Linked DNA regions of Diceros bicornis minor. The protein of the gene in region 2 interacts with the protein of the main gene of each other region in a pairwise test. Links are inferred from orthologs where the notes say so. Each region holds a gene or a part of one and is shown on either strand. Other genes may lie near its edges.

Region 1 (6,894 bases), on a different chromosome or scaffold from region 2:
ACAGAGGACTTCTCTTCCTAAAATGCATCCTCCATCACTCTGTGTCCCTTGCTTCATTTTCTTCTTATAATGTGAGTTATCATTTCCTAACATTCTACATTTACTTATTTGGCTGGTTTTTGCTGATCTTGCCCTGCTGGAGGAAGCTCCATAGGGTGGGGACTCTGTCTTGCCTCCCATTGTATTCCCAGCACCCAGAGCAGTGCCTGGCACACAGTAGGTGCTCAATAACTATCTGCTGAATTAATAAAATGACAAGGCTAGGACTGGAACCTGAGTCACCTTCCTCCAGAGGCTCTTCCCACTAAGCCATATTAGAGGCAGAGAACCCAGGGCCACGAGCAGGGTTGGAGCTGGGGGTGTAGGGGGGGATGTGGCCAGGGCAGAGGCACTGACCTTGACGGTGCAGATGAGCACTCGGCCAGGTGCCACCATGTTGAGGAACAGCACCATGGCCTCATCCTCATGAGGTGAGTACGTGTCAAACACACGCTTTGCCATCACATGGCCCTGGCAGGGGACACAACTCTCGTGAGTTAGTGTCATCAGCAAGGAGGGCTCAGCTTTGGCCCTCCAGGTCCTCCACCCCTAGAACCTCACCGTAGCCTGGTTGAGGACGATGACATGGATGCCCCGGCCTTGCTCCCGGGCCTCGTCCTCCAGTACCTACAGGATGGCAGAGAAAAAGTCCAGCTCTTTACTTTGGCATTCAAGGCCTCTCTGTCCTATGGGCACTTAGAAAACCAGCTGCATGAAACCTCCCCTCCTGCCTATGCCTCTGTTCACACAGTTCTCTTCTAGCCTTGCTTGAAGGCCACCTCTTCCAAGAAGCCTCCATAGCACTCTCAGCAAAAGAGACCACATCTTTCTACAAGTCTCCCCTCATGGCTTTCATGGCTCTGAGAGCCCTTGACTGTTCCTCTCTCATGCTGGAGATATTACAATCCATCAGACTGAGCCCCTCAAAGTAGGGCCAGGTCTGATTACCTCTAGGTCTCCAGAGTGTGGCACAAGGCTGAGGCCAAAGAAAGGACCAGGAAGTAGTTATGAAATAAATAAATCAATTAATTAACTGCCTACTAATACTAATGATCACTTTTGATAATATCCCACTACATCTAAGACATTTCACAGGATTTTCATTTAATCCTCACAAGTAGAAATCATTAGTCATAGTCCACAGATGAGGAACTAAGGCCTCCAAAGTCACACAGCTAGAAACTGGCAGAGGTGCAGTTCCCACTCAGGCAGTGACCCCAGAGCCAGTGGACCACGCCCTACATAGAACAGAGTGACTACACACCAGACACTGGCCCACTCACCGTGGTGCCATCCACTGCCACGTATACTTTGCTGCGGCTCGAGTACACCTCCACATCCAGGACCCGTTGGGGACCGCTGCCTCTGCGCCGGGGAGGCTCCAATCGGCCCAGGGCCTCATCTGCGGGCGTGCGACAGGTCATGGAAAGTCTCTCCAGCAGAGTCTCACCTCTTGGGATCTGCCTGCCATTTCAGCCATGAGATCTCAAGAGACACCCCCCTCCCCACCAACCCGAGCATCTTCAGCCTGGCCCCACCATAGTCTTGCTCTGGCTCTGGGTCTTCGTTGGCCTCGCTGATGGCTCGCCGCGTGTCCAGGATCAACTTGATATTGACAATGACGGTCACGAGTAGGAAAAGCACGGCCCCTGTCTGAGGGGAGGGGTGGGCACGACTAAAGACAGGCACCTCCTCCAGCTCATCGAGGGTCTTTCTGAAAGGAGGGCCCCGGCTGTAGTGAGGACACAGGGAGAACCTGGGGCCTGTCTCTGCTCCCTATGTCTGCCCAGCTCTACTCCCTCAACCAGGGTCCAGTTTCATGACCACCTCCTCCAGGGAAACTCCCCTGACCCTTCCCACTTCATCAGGGCCCTCCCTACCCAGAGCTCCTGTAGTCTTCCATTTGAGGCCTTGATTTCCCTGGTCCCCTCCACAATTAGTTCCTAGAGATGGAGCCAGTCCCAGAGAACCAAGCTGGGGATCAGAGCCCTGGGTCCTAGCCCTGACTGCCTGACAGGTGTGTGCCCCTGGGCAAAGCCTTCCTGATCCGACTTCAGGTTTGTCAGAAGCCTGGGAGGTTGTACTTGGGTTCTGATTCCAGAACTCTGGGGCTAAACCGCTACCTGATAGGAACATGGCACAAAGAGGTTTCCCTCTAGGAACCTGCTGTCCCTTTCCAGGGTGGGGGCAGCCAAGGTAGGTCCCAGTGCCCACAGTCTAGGCTGGGGTAAAGCTGGGAGGCAGCCCCCGGGGAGGTATGGGACATCTCTGTACCTGACAGAATCTCCGCAGGGCCCGCTGGTTGGTCAGTTTATACTTCCAGGTAAGATACCAGCTCCGCTTCTTTCGAGCCCCAAAGGGCTTGATGAGGGGGCTGGGCTTCCAGTCGTCCATGCTGGATTGGGGGGTCACCGCTGTCCTGGCCAACCCATGCCTTCAGGAATCTTAAGGGACCAAAGGGTCACATGGGGTAAGGTGTTCCTCCCAAAGTCTGATGCCTTCTGGGGAGATGAGGGAGGGCCTCCCAACAACTCTTCCCTGCAGGCATCCATGCTGTGTGACCTGGGGAAAGTGGCTCAACTTCTCTGGAAAGAAAAGCTTCAGAGGGGTCAGATTACCTGGAAACTCCCTTGGGGTTGGGGGAACTGAAGGGTTGCCCAGGGTCCCAGCGGTGGAGGCCAAATAATCGGCTCTCAAGGTTCACCAGCCCCTAAAAGGCCCAAGACCCAGCCTTCTCAGTCCTAGAGCGGGCACAGGGCAGCGACCCACCCCCCCCTCCCCGTCCTCCGTCCTCGCCCCCTCCTACGTGACCCAACTCTTCTCCTCCCGGGGCTCGGGGCTCCCGACGACTCGGGCGACCTGCCCTGGCCGCGTCACCCCTCCAAGACCCCCGCCCGGAGGCACTCACGGCTCAGGGGCCGCGAGCCTCGCGGGAGCCCCGCTCGGGCCCGCACGGCTCGGCCCGGCGCGCCGAGGCCTCCGCCTCCTCCATGCCGCTCGCGGCCCCGCCCCGGCGCGGCCCGGCCCGCCTCCCCGCTTCCGCCGCCGCCGCCGCCGCGGGGTGAGAGGGCGGCGGGCGGCGCTTAGGGCGGCGCGGGCGGTCTGCAGCCCGTGACTCCGCGAGCGCTCGGAGCCGCGGCCGCTTCGCGGGCGGCGGGATGGGGGCTGCTGGGGGAGGGCAGCCTCTCCGCCGCCATCACTGCCGGATGGCAAAGCGATGCGAGTCGGAGTCCTAGAGCCTTGGACCAGACCCCACGGCGCTCCGGGGTCAGAGGGGCGACAAGCCTGGGACACAGCGACCCTGGCCCCTTGCTTGGGCGAGGCTTCTCCCAGGTCTGGGGCATGCAGGGCCTTTGGAGGCCGAGGGACATTAAAAACCTGATTCTGCTAATCACCTAGACCTTGGGCAAGTCACTTCAGGTCTTGGCGTAGGTTCCCTTCTCTGTGAAATAGGGGTGTGCTGATATGATGCAGACTGTATGCCAGTCAGTTTTAAACACTTTACTTATATTAACTCATTTAATTCCACAACAACCCCATGAGGTAGGTACTATTACTAATGAGGCCCAATGTCACCAAGCTGGGAGAGCTAGAATTCAAACCCAAGCGGCCTGGCTCCAGAGTCCACTCTTAACCCCTGCACCATAGTAATACTTAGAGAGTTGATGTGAAGGTTACATGAGATAATACATATAAAGCAGTTAGCTTAACACAGTGGTTCTTGAACTTGAGTGTGCATCAGAATCTGTTGGAGGGCTTGTTAAAACACAGATTGCTGGGGGGCTGGCCAGGTGGCGCAAGCGGTTAAGTGCGTGTGCTCCCGGGCGCACATGGACGCACTGCTTGTCAAGCCATGCTGTGGCAGCCGCCCATATAAAGTGGAGGAAGATGGGCATGGATGTTAGCCCAGGGCCAGTCTTCCTTGGCAAAAAAAAAAAAAAAAAAGAGGAGGATTGGCAGATGTTAGCTCAGGGCTCATCTCCTCACAAAAAAAAAACACAGATTGCTGGGCCCCATTCCTAGAAGTTGATTCAGTAATCTGGGGCAGAGAAGAATGCTGCATCTTTAAGAAGTTTCTAGGTGACAGTGACACTTATTTGAAGTAGGTAGCCATGGAACAGTTTTAAGCAGGAGAGCAACATAATCTGATTTAAAAGAACTTTTACCTTTTTGTGGAGAATGTGCTAATAGGAAACAGGACGCCAGAAGACCAGTTAGATTTTTCTGAGCTCTCCGTAGTCCATCTGTTTTCTAAATGGTGGGATGATATCCCCCAAAATGTTAACAGTACTTGTCTTAGGAGTTGAGGCAATAGGTGATTTTTCCTAATGACTACGTATTAGAACAGAAGAAAACTCAATACATTTTGTTATCATTTGAAAAAGATGTCCCTCAGTGTTCCTCCCTGACTCTCGTCTCTCCTCAAACTCAGTCTCCCTGAAGATCTCATCCCCTCTCCTGACCTCGGTTACCTTCTTGATTCCTAGACTCATATCTGCAGTCCTAACCTTTCTCCTGCGCTCCAGGCTGACCTGTGTCCAACTGCCTGCTGGACATCTTCACAGGCCCCTCCAACTCAACACGACTCCTGCTGGAATCATCTCTTCCCACTCCTGGACCTCTTCTTGGGCTCCCTTGCTTGGTGAATGGCCTCAGGCCAAACAGCTGGGAGTCACCCTTGATTCCTCTTCTCTGTTCAGCAACCAGTCCACGTCTGTGTGCTCATCACTTTATTCTCTGCACCACACACAATGGCTAGCACATAGTAGGCTCTCCATAATACTTATTGAAATCTGTCGTTTTTTGAACAAATATTTATTGAATGCCACTATAAATAAATGAGTGTAATTAGTCACCAAATCGTGTCAATATTACCCCCTAAAGAGTCCTTCATTCTGGTGTCATTCTTCTCCAACCTCACAACCAGCCCCTGGTGCAGTCCTTTTCGTTTGCTTGCCTTCCAACTGCTCTCCCTGACTCCAGATTTTTACTCCTCCAATCCTTTCTTCTTGCAAAATCCAGAGTAATTTTTCAAAAAAGGAAATCTGTTTTGTCAATCTCTGATTTAAAACCCTTTCATGAATCAAGAGATGTTAAGGAGAAATATATTACTTAAAATTACGAAGGTAGGGGCCGGCCCGGTGGCGCAAGCGGTTAAGTGCGCGCGCTCCGCTGCGGCGGCCCGGGGTTCGCTGGTTCGGATCCCGGGCGCGCACCGACGCACTGCTTGGTAAGCCATGCTGTGGCGGCGTCCCATATAAAGTGGAGGAAGATAGGCACAGATGTTAGCCCAGGGCCGTCTTCCTCAGCAAAAAAAGAGGAGGATTGGCGGATGTTAGCTCAGGGCTGATCTCCTCACAAAAAAAAAAAAAAAAAAAAAAAAATTACGAAGGTAACCATTGAATGAACTAAAAATAATGATAGAAATAAATAGGGCCAATGGAAGAAGGGAAGTAAGGAGTGTAAGTAAGGTAAGTTGTATTTATCATAATAGGAAGTCAGTAGACAATTTTTAAAATGAAGAACTAGTGATACAGTATAAACCTATGTGGTGTTATAGGTATAAACACCAGAAAAAAATAGCTAAAAGTGGTTGCCTCTGGGGAGTGGGACTAGAGGTGGGAAAGGATAGGGCAGGGGTAACTATGTTTTCATTGTAAATCCTTCGGTAACCATGGACTGGAATTACTTGGATTAAAATCCAAAACCAAGCCAAACCATAAAAAGTTTTTCATGGCTCCTCATTACCTGTGGAATAAAATCTAAGCACCTTAGAACCATTTTCCATTACCTTGTTGCTCAAAGTGTGTTCCCTGGACCAGCAGCATGGCCATTGCCTGAGAGCTTGTTAAAAATGCAGAAGTCCAGGCCTCACCCCAGATTTACAGAACAGTAATCTGCATATTAACAGGATTCTCAGATAATTCATATGCACAGTCAAGCTTAAGAAGCATCAGTATCAAGATCACGTATGATCTGGCCCTTGTGGACCTCTTCAGCTTCAATACTGGTTGCTCCTCATTGGCCAGAAGAACTTTCCTTTCCACTCCTTTAGTCTAAATTCAGTGGCCAGGGGCCGGCCCGTGGCTTGGCGGTTAAGTGCGTGCGCTCCACTACTGGCGGCCCGGGGTTCAGATCCCGGGCGCGCAGCCACGCACTGCTTCTCCAGCTGAGGCCGCGCCCCACATACAGCAACTAGAAGGATGTACAACTATGACATACAGCTATCTACTGGGGCTTTGGGGAAAAAAAAAAGGAGGAGGATTGGCAATAGATGTTAGCTCAGAGCCGGTCTTCGTCAACAAAAAGAGGAGGATTAGCATGGATGTTAGCTCAGGGCTGATATTCCTCCCCCAAAAAATAAATAAATAAAAAATAAATAAATAAATTCAGCGGCCACACTGTGGGTGTATGCGTGTGTGTCAGTGACTAGCTAAATTCTAATCACTGTTTTAGACCCAGCTCATCTACTCCAGGAAGCCTTCCAAAACCCTCTGCAGCTCTTTTATCACTGTTCCTTAAATTCCCATAGCTCTAACTGAGGATGCTTAGCCTTCATTCAGCAAACATTTATTGGGCGCCTGCTGTGTGCCTGGCTGGATTCAGTGCCAGGGTAGGGAGAAGGCGTTCAGCTCTCCGAGGGCTCCTTCAAGTCCAAACCCAGAATCGCCCAGCCGCACGCATTCCAGGGCCAGAGGCAGCGTGCGCAGCACTCGAATATATATATATACACACACGCAAACAGTGTCCTGCGCGGCTTTTCTGAGCGTTACGGCGCCCTCCTCCCGCCCCTACGCGGCGCGGGCGGGGACCCACCGGTTCCGCTCCGCATTAGCAGCGGAGAAAGGAGGACCC
Region 2 (7,390 bases):
TCCATAATTGCCCTCCTGGGATCTGCTTATTTGCATCATGCTAAGTACTTGTAATTAGCCAATGAAAGATTTGGAGCTAAGCTAGTTTTTTTAAAAAACTGAGGCCAATATGATGGAATGTGTACAGCAATTCCATTTCATAATACTAAATACTTTCAGCCAAAGAGGTTTTTTCTAGAGGTGCCTTTTATTAAAATCAGATGGAATATGTTCACTTTTGTTGTGGCATTCAGTCATCTTAGACAACTCTACAAATATGCCATGAAAAAAAAAAGGAAGCAAACAAGGGCAAAGTAATTCTTACAATCACGAGGTATGGTCTTAGCAATAGGTTCATCGCCAGGGAGGAATCCTTGAGAATGCCAACCTTCATTGTGGTGATCTGGAAGGAAAGAGCTTTGAACAGAGGCCTCCTCTCCCCCTTTAGACTTCCCTGTCAAGATACATAAAAGAATTCAAACTAATCAAAAAGCCCAAGTCAGCTGGCTGGTTAACGAGGACAGGCCCAACCTTGACTTCAGAGAGCTTTCTAACACGTTCCACCTGCCTCTCCAAAGAACAAAATTTACAGGATATATTGACTGCAAAGGCGGCTTGCTTCTAAAGAGAAAGATGGTCATATGGTAGCCGAAATGGCAGACCACGGAAGTTTAGCTCAACACTGAAAACACTGTCGCTCTTAACAAATTACCCCATGCCCAAGATACTAAATTTCTTTCATTCTTTTCTTTTTTAAGCTGTTCAATCATCATGAGAGAAGTAGTCAGCAGTAATGTGAGGACCTGAAACAGTCAGCCCTTGAGGTTCTTTATGATCTGGTCCCACCTTACCCGTCCAAATTTAGTGTGTGATGGATCCTCTTCACCCCAGCAGGGTGAATCATTTTTCCCCTCCTCCCCCACCACGCCCCTCCTTCCCCACCACACGCAGGCTGGGGTCATCCCTGCCTCCATCTGTGCTGCTGCCCTGCCTGGAATGGGTTGCCCTTCTCACCATCTCTCCAAATCCTTCAAGGTCCAATTCATGTTCCATTCTCCGTGGAATCTTCCTCAATGGCACCAGCCAACACCAACCTTTTCCTTTCCTGATTATCCCTCCCACTTACTGTCAAAGGAGGGATAGAAATTGCTGCTGTGCTTGGACTTACATTGTGAAGATTCCGAGGTTACCTCTGAGCTCAAGGCTGCCATGGCCTTTTAGCAATGACAGTGAAAATGGTATGCGAGGAGGGCATGGGGCAGTGTGTGTCTAGTATTTGCCAACCCTGGTCTAAACCACCTCACTTGGCAGTGGCATGTACTGGAGCTTAATTTTACATTGTCTCATATTATCCAACTGTATGTTGTTCTATGTTTTTATGGTCGTTCTGCTAAGATTTTCAGATTTTAAAGGGATAGACTGTTGAAGTTATAGAGAGAAATGACCATAAAAGATGTCATAGAGAGTCACAACCGATCATTCTGGCGGGACCCCTTGAGTTGGGGCCTTCCCTTCTTGAGGTTGGTTTGATGGGCCTCCAAAAGATGATTTCAAGTGTGCACCCAGGGGTGATGGATTTCCAGGTGTGTTTTCTGATAAACACACGTATAAATATATCCATATGTATGTATGTTCTATATATATATACTCAGTGCATAAACCTGATTACTCATTCATTTGCAATTGGAGACATTCCTCCCCAGAAACTACACACCCCAGGGCTACTTCTACAAGACACTTGCTTCTGAATAGAGGGTAGGTAAGAACCTCGATTAGTACCCAGGCAGTTGCCCAGTGAGCATGAAATCAGAACCTTCCCCCCTTTCTTTCCAGCAGTTACAATTGTTCTGGCCCTGCCACTTGCTGGCTGTGCTGTGCTTAAGCAAGTTCTCACCTCTCTACGCCTTGGTTTTCCTAGCAGTAAACAGAAAGAGTGCTTAACTTACAGGGTTGTTGTAAAAAGTGCTTAGACAGTAAGTAGCACCTGCTAAACACTTATTTATAATTTTTTATAATTATTTTTTATAATTTTTATTTATATCTTTTCACCAATACTTAAGAAATATCATTTCCATAATAATGCAACAGCCCTAACGGAATAATGAGGCACATATTGATTTTTTAAACCTTTAAAGATTATTCTAAATCCAGGAGAATCAAATGCATCTCACTTGGGATGGCCGACTATGTGAAATACATCTAGTTTTTTCTCTTCTTTTATATACCATCCCTGGGAGTGAATTCCACTCCTGGGTCAACTCTTGTTCTTAATTTTTATTCATCAGACTATATATGCAGATGGCTGTATATATGTGAATATAGCAAGTGAAACCCTGTAGCCTTGAGAGGCCTTTGGATAAAGCTTTATGCACTGTCACTTCCTGCAAATTCTTTTCCCCTGCAAATACCCCACCACCACCACCAAAAAAAAACCTGTCTGTGATTCCTGCCTCCCAAGTCAGACCTGGTGCCCTTGGAAAAAGGTGAGGCATGACTGACACACAGGGTAGGCAGGCTGCTACAAAGACTGCTGGAGGCAAGGCCTTCTAGATGATTCATCAGGTTGGCAGGCTCACTCTGCTCCTCCTCCTCTCCCAGAGGACACCCTGTCCAGGGAAGGAGAAGCCTTTGTTGTGCTGGTGTTTCTCAGTTCAGTATCAAACTGTTGGACTGGTACTTTTTCCTAAAAGACCTGCATGTGAAAGCTTTGCAGCCTTCATCTTTTTGCTCTTGTCAATAATAAAGGGGTAGCCACACCTGTCTTAGTTTCTATTGGATAAAAATGAGGATGGGGGATTTTTGTTTTGTTTTGTTTTGTTTTTTAAGCTTCCAACACTCTTCAGAGCCACCAAGTTCCCTGGGTAGTTGAGAGCAGTCTGCTGTCGGCTAAGAGGAGAGAGGAGCTAGCTCTCCGGCAAGTGAAGTATCCAGAGCCCACCACACCAGCACCCTTGACTAGAATTTCTCCTCCTTCCCTCCCTGGTTGTTTTACAAGGTATTGAATGACTGGCTGCACCCAGTCAATGTCGAGGCCAAGAGAATGGAATTGAGACCTTCCTTCCCTCCCTCCTCCCCCTTCCCCCATCTCCCTCCCATTTATCCTTCTTTCCCCCCTTCCCCCAGCCAAAACCCCAACCAAGCAAATGATCCCCAAACCTCTAAAGTAGTACAATGTTAGAACATGTGGAACCAAAGTATTTCCAGTATCAGGAAGAGGGGAAAGAGGGGAAGAGAGAGACAGAATAGGGGGAAAAAATAGGAATTTCAACATTTTTTTCTTCAAGAGAAAAAAATATCTCTCTAGGCAAGCAGGCCACCCACCCTAGAGGGAGAGCCCACAATTTTTCCAGGTAGTACATTCCAGAGAGTGAATAAACTGTCCAGAGATGCCGGAAGGGGGCCGCAGAAATACACAACATTTAATACAAGGATAGGAGTTGTTTACAATCCTCTGAAAAATGCCCAAGAGTCGAACAGGCCTGGTAATCACTCACAGCTGCGCTGTGGTGCCGGCTGAGTTGTAGGTCTCTGTCTGCTGGAAAAGCTGAAGCAACACTGTGACTTGCCCAGGGTCACACACCAAGCTTGGGACAGAAACAATTCCGATTCCTCCTTCCTGGCTCTCACAGCAGTCAACGCTGCCACCTTATTACTGTACTATCCTTCAAATCTGAATCATTTAAATTGCTCCTAATTGCAGGCCTACAGTGAACTGTAACCTCCACGTGACTCTAACTGCTAGGCAAGCTGAGGTCAGAAGGACTGAAATTTTACAAACTCCTGAACATGGAATTAAGATGTTGGGAGGGGGTGGGGGGTAGGGAAAAAGTGTTTGAAAACTCGACTTCGAAACTGCTGACAAATACCATATTTAGATTTCTTTTTAAAAAAAAAAATGAATTTGAAATGTCACCTCCAATTTGTTATTCTGTTGGAACAGAGAAGCACTTGGAATTCAAATGGATACCATTCAAAAAGGCATGTGGGGGTAAATTTCATATTTTCCAAGCAGTCAATCTTCACACACTTCCTTTTTTGCCCACTAAATTACCGTCTCGTTTCGGTGTTTAAACTTCCTTTTTAACTCTTTTGTAGGCAGCTCTTGGGAGGTGGTGGGAGGAGGGGCCCTGGGAAGCAACCAGGCCTATAAATTCAGATCTGTCCACGGGCCTGGACACGTGCTGTGCTCAAGAAAGAAAGTAAATTCCATCCGGCAAATTGCTCTAATTGATTCATTTGTCCACCAGGGACACCACCTACCTGCTTGCAGGTATTCAGGTAAATGACAGGCGGGCGGGACCTACTGGCTGTTTCAATAGCTAAGGTCCCAGCAATGTTTTATCAGTCCAGGCTTCCGTGAGGTCACACATTTCCTGCTCCCGACCGACCAATGCCCTCCTCCTTCCTCTAGGCACCTGTACACAGAGGTTGAGGCTGTTCACTGCTCAGGCAGCCCAGGGAGCTGTGGGATTCATCCGCAAGGCATGAGAGCTTCGAGGCTGCTGCTGCTTTGAGAGCCCCAGATACTTGAAAAGGTGAGCTGAAACCTCCATTTTTCTCTCTTGGCGTTTAGACCACTGGCCCCTGAGGGATCTGAATGAGGAATTTGAATGAAAAATATAAACTCAATGGCTCAGCCCTGGGTGTTTGTCCCAAAGGGAGAAGCCCTTTTGGGAGGGAAGAGTAGAGGGATGCCTTTGACATTTTGGTTGTACAGGAAAGTCCTTCCAGGCCAGATATTTAATCCTTTTTGTTTCTCCTAATCATTAATCCAGCCTCTGCTTGTCTGGGAAGTTAATCTGATTTTTTTTTTTTTAACCCAGGAGTGGAGACTTTTTTGAAACTTGACTCAAAGGTACAGACCTGTTCAGCCCGTTTCATGGGGGTTGGGAGGCCAGCACTGACTGAATTCGGAGTTGTCTTATTTTTGCCTTATTTGCCTTATTTTGCCTTACTCTCTGCGTTCATCTTACCAGAGGCAATTTCAATCTAAACCTGTGAGATGTTCCTAAAGTTTTTGTTTTTCCCCCCAAGTCTGTTACTTAGATGGGTAACTTCTGTTGCCCTCCTCAGAAGCCCTCCACTCCAGTTCTCTCCTCCCTCTTTCTTCTCTAAAAAAAGTCTACTGTTTTCTTTGTTCTTGGTTGGACACTTTTTAAAATCACTTTGCAGTCTGGACTAGAATTGTTCATATTCAGACCTGGACTGGCTGCGTGCTGAGCTTCAGTTAAAGTAAAGATTATTTCCTCAGTGCTTAACAAGAATGTAAGTTCAGGTCTGATTTTTCATTTTTCTGAACTCCTCCACTTTTTCCTCTCTTTTTCTTTTGATGGCAAATATACCGAGGAGATTGTTCTGCTAGGACCTGACTTGAAGTAATTTTACCTCTAGGATCCATTTTTGTTTTCTTAATCCTGATCACACAGCCGGTACTACTTCTGTTCTAGTCAGCCCAGTAGCCACACTCTACACACAATGCTGTTGTTAGAGAAAGGAAAAGAAACCATCTCCAAACCTAGTTCCCTGCTAGGATGAGCTGGAAAACTTGGGGAGAGAAATCAACTTGCGAGGGATTTTTCATTGGCGATTTTTCTGAGATTTCAATTAGCAAATATGTTTGCAAGAGAATAACCTGTTAGGAATTATGCTCGTATTCATCCTCCCAGAAATTCAAAGTGCATGTCAATTCTCCAAAAGTATAAATGGAAACAAGCTCAGAAGATTTTTGTCTCAGACTGTTCCTTATCACCACTGAGAATCTGCCCTGTGCTTGTTGCCAATTTCTCTCTCACTCCTTGGAGGTTTGTATTGTTCTGTAACTGACCCTTGTGTCTCTTCTTTTCCCCTGAGCCGGTGTGTTTGAGTGGTGGCTATGGCTTGTCCCACGCTAGTGTTCTTACTTGGTTCAGAGTTTTGTCAGCAGAGGAGAGAAAAAGATCTCTGAGATCCTGAATCTTCCAGATAAAAATGTGTCTTCAAAGTCACAAATCTCGCTACAAGATTGCGTTCCCTCTGGGTTACCTTTGTATAGTTAATTTATGATTAAACAAATCATTTCATCACTATATGTCAGAGCCCCTGGCTATTAAAGGAACAAAGCTGTGGATGCTGTAGCCCCAGATATAAGAAAGGAAAAAAATTACGAAGACTGGAATTTAGGGTCAGGTTATCTAGAATGCAATTGGTCTGTTGGATAAGTTGCACATGAGTATTTTCCAAACAAGTGAAAAAGTCCACAGTGGTTCCCTTCCTGTGGTAACTCCATCTCTTGGTTCAAGTGGCAATAAGGCCTGATTGAAAAATATATTCTTTCTTCCATTTACATCCTTGAGTAAGTTACTCAACTTCTCTGACCCTCAGTTTCTTCAACAGTAAAACAGGAGATAATCTCTTACGACACAAAGTGGTCATGAGAAATAAATGAAGTAACATACATAGAGCGACCAATGTCTAGTGCCGGGTGGGTGCCAAATAAAGGCTAGGTCCATCGTTCTTGAAGGCATTTTCCTGGGTTGCTTGTAGGCGATAGTTTGATCCTACTGAGATAAATGATCTTATGTGGTTGCAATTGTTAGGACCACTGATCGTTCTCATTATGATTATTAATTGTAAGTAATTAACTCCAAGCTTAACAGTTTGGAGAAAGAAAACAGGCAGGAGGCAGGAGAATGCTTAAACTATGTCATTAAACAGGCCAGGCAGACTCGTCTCCGCCAGCCTCCCAGGCCATGTCTAGGAGCTTCCGGCCACTGCTGTCACTCCTGCCTTTCCCCACCTCAAGGATCTCATCCCACAACAGACCCACAAAATGTGGTCCTCCACAGACCTTCGGGGGAAATGTCCTGTTGTTATCTGCTGTCATCTGACTTGGCAGGCAGCCCTTTCTGCTCTCAATCGTGCTATCTCCAGGGCAGACCGAGCTTGGTCTGCTCCAGTCTGGCAGATAAATAGCCTTCACCGCAGCCTGGCGAGCTACCATGCCAAGTCACTGGTAGCAGGAGGCAGCCAGTTTGGAGCCTGTACTGTACTATGGAAGGGGGACTTGTGGATCCTTTGGATATGATTGCCCCCCCGCCCCGCCCAATGGAATATCCTGTGCCCTCCGATGACCTTGAGTCATTGCCTAAGAGCAGGAGTGTTCCCAGGCCCCTGGGACCTTCTCCAGGTCTCATCTTATCCTGAAAAGATAAGGCAGGTTTTCATCATTCAAGAGCAAGGTAACAGCCTAGTGGATTGAGGCCAGGGGTTCATAACCTTGAACCTACTACTAGCTTGCTTAGGGGATCCTGGGGAAGAACCTCAACCTCCCTGTCCATCAGTTTCCTTGTTCACCTTTTCCCACATGTGGGATGCTGAAGTAGCGTACTTCACACCCGCCCTGCGTCCTGTGACAGAAGCTAGATGGGCGGCA

Evidence for each region.
Region 1: the proteins of LNX1 (region 2) and POMGNT1 interact in binary tests that used the Homo sapiens proteins (3 or more experiments, as listed by UniProt). The link is inferred for Diceros bicornis minor from reciprocal best matches to the Homo sapiens genes LNX1 and POMGNT1.

Annotation. Positions count from the first base shown.
Region 1 is NC_080752.1:9,096,445-9,103,338, forward strand, and holds the start of POMGNT1 (protein O-linked-mannose beta-1,2-N-acetylglucosaminyltransferase 1), read right to left. Parts: upstream 3,023-6,894; 5' UTR 2,948-3,022; intron 2,777-2,947; exon of another isoform or gene 2,484-2,776; 5' UTR 2,434-2,483; coding exon 2,314-2,433; intron 1,693-2,313; coding exon 1,578-1,692; intron 1,442-1,577; coding exon 1,323-1,441; intron 667-1,322; coding exon 601-666; intron 511-600; coding exon 397-510; intron 1-396. UniProt on the Homo sapiens protein: Participates in O-mannosyl glycosylation by catalyzing the addition of N-acetylglucosamine to O-linked mannose on glycoproteins.
Region 2 is NC_080747.1:41,675,759-41,683,148, reverse strand, and holds the start of LNX1 (E3 ubiquitin-protein ligase LNX), read left to right. Parts: upstream 1-4,390; 5' UTR 4,391-4,514; intron 4,515-7,390.